Linked DNA regions of Lytechinus pictus. The protein of the gene in region 2 purifies or fractionates together with the protein of the main gene of each other region. This does not show direct contact. Links are inferred from orthologs where the notes say so. Each region holds a gene or a part of one and is shown on either strand. Other genes may lie near its edges.

Region 1 (7,328 bases), on a different chromosome or scaffold from region 2:
TACTCTGACAACAAAACATTTTAAGATCTTTTTGAAAAATATGTTACATGCCACAAAAGAAATAGGCCAACCTGGAGAGAGTTTAAGACTATTTATAGAAAATCGTACACATGATTACATACATTGAAGAAATAATGTGAATAAAGCACATCTGGCTGATTTTAGTTTCATAATTTGGACCAGAATATGGGACATTTCACGCGCTATTTTGTAATCATAAACATGATGCATACAAGTATAGCAAACTAATGAAAGCGTGAGCTAAAATACTTTTTATACTTGAAAACAAGACATTCACTGTGATCCCCTCATGAAAAGTACTCATTAAAAAATGGAATGCAAGCTAAAAGCACAAGCATAAATTTAATTTTGATACATTGACCTAAAATTTTGCTAATTGAAATTCTTCCCTTCCCCTTCTTCCCTTTTCTTCCTCCTTTTATTTTTCTCATCCTTGCCTTTAGGCATTACATTGGCGGATTACCATTGCCATGCTCTCCCTTCTAGCAGAGCTTAGTTCTGAATTGTCATTCTCATATTTTGGATGGAGGAGACTTTTTCAAAGACTTTTTATCACTCCACAATTTTTTTTCTGTTCTTTTTCTCTTCTTTTGGGGTATCTTTTTTTCTCCCTTGTTTTCTCTTACAATTTCCCTGCCCCCTCCATTTCCCAATTCATTATTTCTATCACATTATATCTTACCCTTTTACTTTTATAACTTTGTCAGGGGAGGCAAATATTGCCACTACAATATCTGATTATCATGCAAATAATTGTTTCTAATTTGCCAGTCTAAATCTATTCCCTTAACATCAATCTTCAAGACACACTGGAGCCAAATACAAATGTTACACAATCCAGATCCCATGATAGGACCAGGTGTGGTATTCTCATTTCTGAGATCTACTTTATCTTTAATAAAAATAAAATATTTTATTCCTGTTAAAATCAGTGAGACAAAATATCCTTAAAATCCCCTTGAATTGGTATTCTGAGAACCATAAATCTTAATTTTATCTTGGAAACATGCAACAATTTTTGAAGAAATACTAGTATCCAATGAGAAATGCTGCTTTATAGCACTCTCATCTCACTAAGCCAATGAGGTGTGCTGAGGTATGATGAGTTACATTTTGTCCATTTATTGAATTCAAATGGCGCTTGCACGTTACACTCTCAACTTTTGTTCGATGTCAATGTTGCATCATAATAATAATAGGCATTTATATAGTGCCATCTATCTAGAAATAATCTATTCCGAGGCGCATTTTTTATTATTATTTCCCCGGCTTTAGCGCGAGCTGCCTTTCAGCACTCGGTGCATTCAAGGAATTAGTCCTGCCTGGTACCCATTCAACTTACCTGGGTTGAGTGCAGCACAATGTGGATAAATTTTTTGCTGAAGGAAACTACGCCATGGCTGGGATTTGAACCAACGTCCCCCTGTTTCAAAGTCAGAAGACTAATCCACTGGGCCACAACGCTCCAAAGACAGTATATATTAGTCAATTAAATTAGTCTCATTAAATAATTCTTCATTCTACAGGAATATTTCATTCCTCAATATTTTATTTTTCTTTAAGACAATATTTTTAATTTCAACATTGGATGTATGATGGGGGACCTAATTATGCCAATTTTAATATTTGAACAAATGATCTGTCACTAATTTGTGGTAAATATTCTAAAGATCCTTAAGCAAGAAGAAAATACCACAAACTCACTTACAAAAAGTCCTGCTGTGTTTTCAAAACACATCTTTATTTTGCTGCAGCTGCCGCCTGATGTACATTAGGAGTCGTAAAGCTACGCATTCATCATGTAAAGAAATACCGGTAGTATTTCCTGTGCCTTAAGTATGTTAATATTCATTATAGAAAAATATATGTAAGCATGAAAGTCACTGTTTTTTTCCTTTTCAGTTTATTTTCCCGTTTTGGTGCATTTCAGGCAAAAAAGGAATAAAAATCTTTATTTTGGTACAGTTCCGCCAGTATGTTGTTTTACAATTATAATGATGATTCAATGTTACATGCGCTAAGTTGTAAGCGCACCACCTTGTGTTGGTCTCTTGGCCACGGTTATTAACTCTTTGTGCGCATCTGTACTGAATTATTTTCAGGGAGGGAAACAATGCATTGTTTGTTGAGTGTGAAATGCGAAGTTCGCACGGCACTGAGTGTGCATTGGTGCGAAGTACGCGTGGAAAGGGTTAAAGACAGTTACACGTAACCTCAAAGTTGTCTAGTTTATTTATTTCTTTTAGTTTTACATTATAGTTGTGCCCTTATTATTATTAACCCATGGCGTTCTGTTTATGAAATAAAGACCACAAAGACAAAAATCAATGAGCCCCGTCAGGAGGATTTTGCATTGTTAACCCCCTAATGAGTAATGGCAGCTGCACGATCGCGAGACGTCTGTGTACGAGAAATTAAAAAAAAATTAATAGGGCCTATGTTAAAAATAAGAAACTCCTCGAAACAGACGGCTGCCAGCTACATCATGTCATTATTGGCGCAAGTACCGGTACATCACCATTGTCTAACCTAGCCTATATCTAAGCCTAAAAAGTACCTACAAAGCCTACGCCCACTGCCTAATTCCATGAATAAAGAATTGTCACTGCCTCTTCATCCCACTTCTCAGCCTCAGGCAAGAGGCCGCAAATGAACGGTAGCTACGGAGACGGTACCCGGAGCTGACCCTGCAGAGCGGGTGCGCAGCTCCGTTAATGGTACCGGTACCGCCGCGCCGGTACTCGTACGCGCCTGACTGCCAAATAACCAGCAATTCATACCTCTGTTGGCCCAATCATCAGTATCTTTGCTTTCATCTTGATACCAGAAGTAATTCAGACTGCGCTCCTTAATGGTCCGGCTACTTAGTACCGGAATTCACAACAACGAGCACCGCTAACTATTATTACTTAAATTAATTGATAAAGTCGACTGCTAGCTATATAGCTGCAGAAAAATGCTACTCTGTAATTTGTACGTAGAGGGCGTCCTTGTAAGATAGATGCAGATTCGATGGCTGCTGAAAATAGTTTGTTTAAGGACGTTCCACAGTACAGTTAAAGTGAAATCCATATCATTTTCACCAAACTTTGCACATAGATACTTTAGAACCTTAATATTCGAAATATGCAAAAATTAACATAGGTCCATGTGCTTGATTTTTTGCTATAGAACTTCAAAGTTCACCCAAATTGATGTTCTTAAGAATTGCGCATCCAAAAGAATTTGGCATTTTTAGACCGCCCTAAGATTACTACAATGAGTTTAAACCTCTATTACTCAGTCAAAATACATGAAAAAGTCATCAAATTTCGCAAGAGAGTTAATAATTGTATCGTTAGAATGGAGAATATATTTATAATGCTATTTGTTTGCAATTTTAAGTTTAACAGCACTGTCAGTTCTTAAAAATGGCGTAAAAGATAACAAAATCCCAATCTAAAAAATGTGAAATTTCAGTAACAAACTACAAAAGTACAATAAATGCTGCACTTTATTCAAAATCCATGTCATTTTCACCAAAATTTGTAGAGTTGTAGAGGACGGTTTACCTAAGAGGAACAAACATTAAAAAATAGGGGTTCATATGTGCTTGTTTTTAAACTATCAGTATTTTTATTAGAGCAAATGTGCTTTTTAAAACACCAAAAATGCGCCGAATGCTTAGTATCTATGTGAAGAAAAAATCAAAGCCACTCTACCATTTATTCAAACTCGGGGTAATATTCGTGATTCTTGGCAGCACTGCAGAGTAAAGTATTTTGAAATTGTAGAGAATCTTTTTTTGAATGGTCCATGGAATAATTCCAATTTTTAGCTTCATGAAATAACGCATCGGATCTGCAGTTAAAGTGCAGAAGATGAGAAAAATCAGCACATACCCGCAGCTAATTAATCACCTGTTCATCCATTGTGACGTCAGCGCGCAGAGTGTAAACCGTATTTATTTGTCTATGGTGTAAACTATGCGCAGATCATAATGCGCACAAACATAACTGTGGAACGTCCTTAATTTACTATCTCATTATGCTGAAAATAACAATTTTTATTGCCAAAAGGGTTGACTTGTGTTAAAGATATATAATAGATATTAATATCGTCACTGGCCTTATTTCGCTCAATTTATTATGCCAGACATACATGTAGGCCTACCTAACGTAAAATTGAATTGGGGGCCGAATATCGTCACTGGCCTTATTTCGCTCAATAATTTTTATGTCAGATATACATAGGCCTACCTAACGTAAAATTTGATTGGGGGAATATCGTCACTGGCCTTATTTCGCTCAATTATGCCAGATATACATGTAGGCCTACCTAACGTAAAATTTAATTTGGGGAAACAATGGATAAGCTCTACTCTTTATATTTTTTTCATGATCATAATTAACAACAGTACTAAGTATGTGAAAGACATACCGTAGATGTATATTTTATGATAAAAATACACAACGGAAATAACTATTGATTACACTAGCGTATACCTAAGGGGGCAGACTGCCCCCCCCCCCTGACGAGTCACAACTCATGCAAAGGACGTATCCCTGTCCCCCCTGACGAGTCAAAACTGATCCCTGACGAGCCACAAGTGGCCCCCTCCTTTGAACTTAAAGACCTTTTTTTTTTTTTTTGCTTGTCAATTTTTTTGGCGAACGAAATTTGACCCCCTTTGGAAAATCCTAGGTACGCCACTGATTGATTATATATCATTTTGATAATATTATTAAGTAATCTGGACCTCGTCACGCACGCTCATTATTTCGAAGGGAAAATCCTAAAGATTCATTGAAAGGGTGGTCTCTTTGATTTTTTTCTTTACAGATAAAAAGTTAACGAGGAAAGTTTAAAGTCTTCCACAAACATAATGTATTTAGGGGGTAATTTTACTGGCTTTCCTTCCAAATACCCGTTAGAGAGAAAATGATTCTGTTAGCTCTGATCCCTGCCAAATGCTCATGCATAGGGGAGTAAGTGGTTCCTCGAACCCAAAGGGAGATCTAATTAAGAAGCTGAAACAAACATAAATTAGATTGACCATCTAAATATGGGAGGCTGGGGGATTCGAAGTTATGCTTGTAACCCTTTAATAGTTGTATAAGAACGCATTTGGAATATTCTAGAGTAAAAAAAAAAGAGGAGACGGTTATTTGTTTATTGTTGTGATTTGTGGTGTTGTGGGGGGGGGGGCTTAAAAAGTATGTGGTGTTGCAGTGTTGATAATTTCAATATAATGAAAATAATTTATCATGGACGGCAGCTTTGGATGACTGCAATATTTCATTTTCATAATTTCATTTATGATTTCTGCAACTTTTCCAAATCAACAAAGCAAATATACAATAAATCGAGTACGTGACAAAATATCTGGCAATCAAGACACTGCACGAAGGTTTTTTTTAGTCATCAGCATTCTTTGCTACCTTTTAATGCATGACTCATTTTGTTTTGCGTAAAGCCAGTGGCAAAAATAATTTGTTTGATTTTGTTGGGTGATTCGTATATGAACATGTGTTGGATTATGAGAGAAAATAATAAACACATCTTTAAGAAAATTACATTTGTATGGTAAACCTCATATCAATGTCCTGAATCGATCAATAACATTTTGCGGGTTCCATCGCTCGCTCCGTATTCAAAACGTCCCTTCTCATGGCGTTTTGATGATATTGTTCAGTTTAGACCGGCGAAATGTTGAATGACCTGGAAAATTGACATGAAATTTAGACTGCAGAGTCAGAACCTTGGGCAGTGTTGTAAACACATCCGATTGAAAACCTTGGGCGAAGATAGCCTATTATTTTAAAGGGATGGTCCAGGCTGGAGATAATTATATCTAAATGAATAGACTAAAATTCAAAAAGCAAAATGCTGAAAATTTGATCGAAATCGCATAACAAATAACGAAGTTTTTTTAATTTTAAAGATTTGCATTATTCCGGTGAAACATAGTTCTAGGCATGTCTTTTTGAAAATTCATTAGGTGAGCTGATGATGTCATATCTCCATTTGTTCTTTTGTATTTTATTACATGAAATCAGGTTTATTCAACATTTATCTACCAAGAACTAAAACAATTGGATTTACAACTGATTTAGTTCATTAGTTATTTATTGCTGCAATATACAGTGTATTTCATCATAACTGATCCACATCATTTACACATGTATGAAAAAAAAAAAAAAACATTTATGAGTTCATGTGATAAAAACAGAAAAAAGGAAAGTGGGGATGTGACATCATCAGCCCACCTAATGAATATTCATGTCGATGTGCATATAACTGTTTTCACAAATATTGATAAACTTTAGAATTCAATAACTTTGTTATTATTTTTGTTATCCGATTTTGATGAAATTTTCAGCATTTTGCTTTGTGAATTTTACTATATTTATTTAGATATAAACATTTTCAGCCCGGATCATCCCTTTAAGCAACAGCCATGGTCATATTGGGAAAGGCCATGGTATTTAGGCGACATAATAAGCCTAGACATATTTTTTTGGCAGATGTAAAATAGGGGTACAGTTCAACGAGTTTGATAAAAAAAAAAAAAACATGATGTGCACCCCTGCCACGCCCCCTATTTTGATTCATCTTCCTCCTTCCTATCCGATTCCCTTTTAATCCTATCGTCCTATTTCTGCACTTTTTTCTAACTAAAAATTTATCTCAGTTTTATCATTTTTCCTTCTTAAATTATTTTTAAAAAATCGTAAGAGGTATACGGCTTGCTCCTCTCTGTGGTGATCCCATGATCCAGAGGACTTTGTCCCCAGCCCTCTGACTCAATGGCTGGCCAATGGGGGCAGAATTAACAATATACAGTAAAGACATGAACGGATGGAAATAATTATAATAATAATAATAATATAGGGTATTTATATTGCGCACATATCCACCTTGTTAGGTGCTCAAGGCGCTCCTATATTATTACCCGGCTAAGCTAGGCGTTCATAGCGCACACAGCTTTTTAAGGAATTACTTCCTACCGGTACCCATTTACCTCACCTGGGTTGAGTGCAGCACATTGTGGATCAGTTTCTTGCCGAAGGAAATTACGCCATGGCTGGGATTCGAACCCACGACCCTCTGTTTCAAAGTCTGAAGACTAATCCACTGGGCCACAACGCTCCAAATTATCAATTATGATAATTTTGCGAAATTTTCATTGCTCATTAAATGTTTATGAAAGCTAGACAAACATACAAATAACCTTCAAACTGTGATTCTCATAAATTTGTATCTTTCCTGACCAATTATATCGTTTGCATTCAACTAATCACAAAATAAAGCAAAAAAAAAAATCG
Region 2 (7,435 bases):
GGTACTCTGACAATTCTCAGCACCCCAGTAACAAAACAATAATTACCTAGCCATGATGATATTTTTAAATATTTTTACATACACTTTTTCATCACAGAGCCTTGAAATGGTTGCCATATATGCATAAGCGAGACTTGTCAACAAGGATGGCTTTCCCTAGGAAATCCATAATTAGAGGGTGAAATCGGTTTGTTTCTCTTGATTTTATTTAATAATAGTTATTTATAATCAAGTTTCAAATTTTATTATTTGTTAAATAATAATTTTCATCTATAAATTGTTCTTTGAAACGGCATTTTGTAACATCGCTTATCGAAGCTACGTCATAACGAAGCGGTTCAAGGGTGAAGCCTATTGTATTTTTGGTGTTTACAAATGGATCGAGGGATCTACACAAGATCGGTCTGGTAAGAAACCTCTCCTTTTTCGTATTTATACTAAAATATTTTTAATCCCTTCATGTACGCATTAGGTGTATGAAGGTTCATAGATGAATAAAATCAAGAGAAACAAACTGATTTCACCCTCTAATTATGGATTTCCTAGGGAAATCCATCCTTGTTGACAAGTCTCGCTTATGCATATATGGCAACCATTTCAAGGCTCCCTGATGAAAAAGTATATAAAAATAATTATCATCACGGAGTCCTCAAGGCTAATAATTACCCATGGCCAGGTCTCTAATGCTGCACTGCTGTAACAGCACAAGCTTGGAACGGAATCCTGGGGATTGTTTCAGGAAATGGTCTTGGTAGAACCGTTCTACGTAGAACGAGATATCACTCAACTGTTTCACAAAGCCGATTTGGGCGATACGAAGAATGGTCCTTGGAAAGACACCTCCAGACATGTCCTACGTAGGCATGATCTTCTTTGCACACCGCCCGCCACCGTCAGCATTGATAGAAAATGCGTGACATATCAACATTTAACATTTTTTGGGGTCGTTTGATTGCACTCTGATGCATTTTATCAGGGATGGCGCCAAGTTATTTTTTAGATGGGGGCTGTTATTTCAACTGCTACGGGTAATAAATAATTGTTTTTAATATGTTTTCTTTTATTTTCTCACAGTCACAATTCTCCCTCTTTTCCCCCACCCCTTTTCCAGATTTTTTTCAACCCATCCCAATCCCAATTTTTGGACTGGTGCCTCAGAGTCTGAGGCGCCGGTCCAAAAATTGGGATTGTCCCAGAAAATAAGGATATCATCATAAACCAAGACAAATCATGTCTTGATGAATTGAGACTATCCTTGTTTATGGGGACAGGTTAATACCACTGCAGGACATAGAGACGGCAATTACGAGGCTTGAGAGTGCTAAAAATAGATTCAGTGACCTCAATTTCCCCCAGTTCACCGTCTATTTTTCACAACTTGCAATAATCTTGTTATGAAACCTGATATTATGTTGACATCGACTAGCGCACTGTTTGAATTCAATGGCGGCTAGGCTGGTGGCTAGGCCCTAGGCTAGGGCTAATGTTAGGCAGTTAGGCATTGCATTCATTACCATTTAAGCTTGTATAAGTCTACAGCAATATACTACAACTTGTTTTAGTTACTCTCCAATTACCTCCAGGCTACCCCCCCCCCATCCTGTTTGTGCCTCCACCATGTCCACCCCTCCAACGTAACATGTAGTAGCGTTAGAGGTCAAACGTTACTTGGTAGAACCACTATTGTACAGTCACATATTGTATTACCGGACAGTATCATGATTCCGGACGCGCATATTACTACGTACGAAAACAATTTTGTACCGTAAGACTTCCGCAGTTTAATTTCACAGAGCAATACATAGAACAAGATTGCAAAAACAAGGCAAAAAATCCAACTTTTAGTTTACCTTATTTATCTCTAAAATGACAGAAAATGCTTAAAATATCATATAACATAGTTTTGCAATAACAATTGATATATTTTCTGACAGAAATAAGGCCTGATTTGCCGAATTTCTTTCTCGTCCGCTCCTTTGATCGAATGTTGAGGTGCGGTGTATTGTGGGTGATCGTCGACGGCTAGTTCTCAAGGTACCCGTGCGCAAGGTTTACCGTGACTAGAGCTTTATTTTAGTCGACGATCGGCAGCGCATCGATAGAACTTGATGAGCATCACGATATACAAACGAGCATAATATTGGAAAGTGCCCTGGAATATGCAGTTAAAAAGAAAACATAAAATTAGTTAGCAACACAAATTATATTTCCAACATCTGCTCAGATTCGATATAAAAAAAAGCAAACAAATTTACTCATGATATGATATATTAAGAACAAAATCACACCAATTCTTCTTTACATCATTATAACAAAGAATATATTCTTAACCCGCCCGGCGCACGTCTGGAATCATGATGTAATTTGTCACGCACGAAAATATTTGTTTTTCGTGGCCGTGGAGGGGTAGGCCTATGCGAATGCGGCCTGCGGCAAGTGCGATGCAAAGAAAATGGTAGGCCTAGGTAAATATTAAATAATTTCATCATATTCATAATTTTCATAATATTTGGCACAGCAAGTGCGAAATTTTCTTCATTGCATTTCCTCTAGTTGTCATTTTTAAAGCACTGAAATAAAAAATTAAAGGTGTCCGGCAATACTCTTTTTTTTAGTTGAACTTGTAGTTCAGTGGGTAAAACTGACACGGTATTGGACACCTGGGACTAAGTATAGAATAAAATGAATAGTGCAAGCCCAATCAGGGCTATCTTACCCATCAATTATATTCTCGGGAGGAAAATTTTCATCACTTGACGTTGAAATAGGCACTTGAGCCCCTGCTTCTGCTAGCGCTACGTCAAACATGATGACCGTGATGATTTACCGAAATTTATCAGGTGTTTTTATTTAATCCCAGAAAATATGCGTCACCCGTAACCACGGTGTTTGAGCACGAGATGGCGTTCTTCCACTTCACTTTTAGTGCAGTGAAGTGAGATATTTTGAAGTTAATAGAGGAGTAAGGCAGGGAGATCCACTCTCTCCACATTTATTTATCATAGCGATTGAACTATTAGCTCATTATATCAGGAGAGATGATGAAAGTAAAGGGATAGGATTTGGGAAACGGGAAATAAAAGAAGTTCTGTATGCAGATGACATTACATTGTTTCTAAAAGATATGGATTCGATCCATAGAGTAAAAAAAATTTAAGTGGATTGAAGATTAATAAAACAAACTTTTTTGTGGTTGGGAGAAGAAAGAGATAGACCTAGTTTACCACTTTTTGGACATTGGTTACAACATATTAAAATCTTAGGGGTATATTTCGCACGGGATTCTAAAGTCAAAGATGATTTTGAACTATAAGGAAATCTTGAGTAAAATTAAAAGACTTATTGGTTGGTGGAAGCAAGAGATCTTACAATATTATGGTAAAATAAAACTTTTGAATGTGTATGCATTTTCAAAATTAAACTATGTTTCTTTCCTGATGATAGTCCCAAAAGACGTTTTTAAGGAAATAGAAAAAAAAATTCAGTTTTATTTGGGGAGGACACCAAGTCTGCCAAGACATTTTATAGGATCTTCAGTAAAAAGATTGTTAGTTTCACCGTTGTTTATATTCATTTTCATAAGATTTGATTTAGTCCAATTGATTTTTGGCCCAGCATATTTTCCAAACGTCTCGACTTCTTTCATTATCTTTGTAATGCATTGTGTGTGATGCAGGTTATGCGGAGTCTTATATACGTACGTGTTTTCCGTTGAGAAAAAAGAGGCGGTTTCAAACCGCCTCGATCACAAGAATCCCCGTTAAATTACGAGAACATTTTTAGGCTAAAAAATACCCATTAATTATTCCTGCATTCACATCGCCCCGAAACATACCCTTCGGGATAAATTCCTAAAGTTAGGAGCATGCGCGCGCAGCGGCAGTATGGTCTAATAAGCAGGCAAGGCGCGAGATTCAAAACCACTAGCCCAGCAGCCACCCACAGCGCCCGCGCCCAACGACACGCTGGGCTAAAAGTTCCCGTAAATTGCTTTCACATTGTCAGTACGCAATTTAGACTGAAATAATAGGGCATTTAGTTCCACCATCTTTATTCGCAAATTTTCAAGATATTTTTTTCGCAATGCGAACGTCAGTAGCTGACTAGAATGTCCCGGTTTTAGGTCGCAAACAAAAATAAGCTCACGCTTCGCGCTCGTAACAATTGTATATTGAAATCCCTTGAGATACATTTCTTGTAGGCCTACTTTAATCTGAAATGGGCTTAGCACTGTATGCCAGTTGTCAAGAGAGATTTTTCTATCACGAGACACTGCAAACAGTCATTGACAGGTCAGTGTAATCAGCTCATAGCACGAATTGTTTTTGGTATACACATCCTGCATCCTAAATCATTATTTGATTAGTGAAATATGTATCATATTCATGAGTCACTGCAAAAAAGCTAGCCATAGACTTTTTACAATTGATTTACACATAAAATATTTATATTTACCATCATTACTTTTAGCAATAGGGGAGACCGGGGTGAAGTGGGACAAAAAATACAAGTTGATGAATTTTCTCTTATAACTTTTCTTTTATTCAGAATTGGGAACTTGTGTTTTGTACCTTAAGACAACCGATGCTAGGCCACATGATGGAACGTTGGTTCATATTGCTGCAAGTCTCATATTTGTGTAATCATTGATTAGTAAAAAGCTTCTGAACGGGGAGAAGTGGGCCACCTCTGGGAGAATTGGGACATCGGCTGGGGTAAAGTGGGATGGCTAGGGAGAAGTGAGACAAACAATAAATAGGCCTACTAATAAGGTTGAGAATATCACATTGCGCATATATGTATATATATTATGAATATATATGTGCTTTTCATGTGTGCGTGCCTGTGAGTGTGAATGGGTGTGTGTGTATTTATGTGTATTTATGACTTACCAGATATGAAATGGATATGCCCCCAGAATACTTTTATTAATATGTTATCTTAGACATATCGAAAGAAAATGTAACTATCGATAAATGTCAGGTTATTCAATGCCCTTACTTTGACGTAATCATGAATCAGCCATCCACCAAAGCCAGTTATTATATCAGAGTCAATGTAAACCATATTACTTATGAGAAAATCCTAATTGCTGATGAATGCCATTGTAATCTCAATCAAAAATCAATCATGATCAACGCACACACCTCAGAGAAAATAATGCATTAGATCAAGACACATGTAAATGCTCCTCAAGTAAACTGGTTTTAACTTTTAATGCTGAAAACAACATTATTTGTAATTCAAACTGATACAATAAAAATTATGGCATTCCTTGACAGTGCTGTGGGATGTTCATCCTTTTTGTTCCTTCATAAGTATCAAAACTTGTGGATGAATAGATGTATTTGTGGTTTATTTTTTTTCAGCTGTTTTTAAAAACACATGTATATTTGTACTTTAAATTTGTGTGACATCCTCTTACATGTACAAGTTACAAGTAAGATATAAAAGTATATCCGAAGGGCTGAAAATGCAAATGTTGGCAACATATCCCTGTATTGGCATTTTCAGCCCTTCAGGTATTGTTGATTGTTGCTTTCTTCATATGCAGATATTTGTCTAAGTTAACAATGAAGGATCAGGTGTTCATTAAATTGAGCAAAGCAATTTGTTTTCACCAAAAGTATGTTGGTGAATGCTTCCCTTCCACACTTCACACCAATTTGGTGTCATTATTTTGGGAAATAAATCATAATCAACCTTTAGAAGTTCAAATTTTGTAACAAGTAAGGCTATACTGTTGTAAGCGATTTTGAAACTGGATGCTCTTTCAAATGTAAAATTAGGGTACCTTTCAAAAACGAAGTTAAAATATTTCAAGAGTATTAGTTACAATAATTCTCTGATGTGGCACAAGGCCACAAGCTAATACCTTTCATTGGTCTGGGGACATGTTGTCACATACAATTAGTGTAAGTAGTTTCAGGAAAAAAATGTCAGACTTTATAACTGTAACTCTATCATCAACAATTAGAACATTTATTAAAATCTAATTCAACTTGCCCATCCCGCCATAAGCTTTGAGCTAATCTGTCAACGCTAAACATTAGACCTACTGTGCATGGGGGAAGCAAATAACAAACACCGAACATAAGTTTCCTTAATTCAATATGGGAAACAACAAATTGTGTAGATGGGAATAGCCGTCTAAAACTGAGCATATATTGCAACCGTAAAAAACAGATGATATGTTTCAAATGTTGCTCATATTGTTTCACGATACCTTAAAGTCTTTTGTGTAGAGTATTTTTACTCATGAAATATGGTACATATTCCCCATCTATTTTCTGAAAATTCCTAATCTGCACATGCTACAGTAAAAATCCTGTCAACGTAAAACAAAAATTCTTAAACCATAACAGTTTGGGCAATATCCTTCACACTGAGATATGTGCAAAACTTGATCAACTTTTTCAACATTCTAGTTTTTCTGGAGAGATCACCAAGGAATGCTGATATTTAGGAGCTAGTCTTGCATCTTGGTTTGCGCGAAACTTGGCAACATATCTCCCGAGAGTTGACTTTTTTACGTCTGCTTCTTGGGCAGCATCTCGAATCGATTTCCCATCTCTCACCACTGCTTGAACAGCCTCCAACATTTCTGCATGGGACGTTAGTCCCATGCGAGTTTTTCGTTTGTAGTTCCTTGGCATGTTATCTGCAAAAGTATAAAAATGGGATGAACTGTTGACAGTACCACAACATATGACTTGACAAGTAGGTTCTCTAACAGAGTATTGATGAAGGTGATGTAAAAGTGTAGGCCTACTGCTTTAATTTAATTGATAGACTACATGTTCCTGAATAGATTGTGTTTGAATCAATTTGCCATACTTATACAAGGCCTACAATTATATGAACACAAGCTTCAAGAACTACTACCGACATGATTATGCCATATTGATTTAAAGTGATATGAATGTCATTGGTGTGAGGACCATATTGTATGACTATGGGGTAAGGTGGGACACAGTTGGGAGAAGTGGGACAGTAAAGGGAGAGGTGGGACAGTCATGTCCCAGTTTATCCCAACAAACACAAAAAATCTAAATGGCGGATAACTTTTCAAATTTGCACATTTTTGCAAAAACTTAGTATGCAAATTATTAGGACTAACAAGGCCTAGATAAAGCATGCTAAGTGTCTGCTAAAGCTATAAGAATAAATTCAAAAAGTACTTCACACTGACTGCAAAAAACTACAAAAAAAGTGTGAAAAAATAAAATTTAAAATTACACTTACCATGCAGGGGAGTTCTTGCGCTGTTGCTTCCATGTGGTTTTACTCTAATACCTAATGTCTATCAGGGGATAAGAACAGATAGCTGATTAGTTGAAAACTTTTCTAGATATAGGAGGTGTCCCACTTCTCCCGCGTCCCAGTTCACCCCGGTCTCCGGCCTACAATGTTTAAGAAATATACAGAACTTAAT

The links. Proteins that work in one complex are often made in the same cells at the same time.
Region 1: the proteins of intraflagellar transport protein 25 homolog (region 2) and intraflagellar transport protein 22 homolog purify together in Homo sapiens (affinity purification with mass spectrometry; 3 studies listed by BioGRID and IntAct, with this or other methods). This does not show direct contact. The link is inferred for Lytechinus pictus from reciprocal best matches to the Homo sapiens genes IFT25 and IFT22.

The regions. Positions count from the first base shown.
Region 1 is NC_087246.1:23,441,565-23,448,892, reverse strand, and holds the start of intraflagellar transport protein 22 homolog, read right to left. Parts: upstream 3,002-7,328; 5' UTR 2,838-3,001; coding exon 2,802-2,837; intron 1-2,801. UniProt on the Homo sapiens protein: Small GTPase-like component of the intraflagellar transport (IFT) complex B.
Region 2 is NC_087255.1:5,608,297-5,615,731, forward strand, and holds the start of intraflagellar transport protein 25 homolog, read right to left. Parts: upstream 3,011-7,435; 5' UTR 2,809-3,010; coding exon 2,717-2,808; intron 1-2,716. UniProt on the Homo sapiens protein: Component of the IFT complex B required for sonic hedgehog/SHH signaling.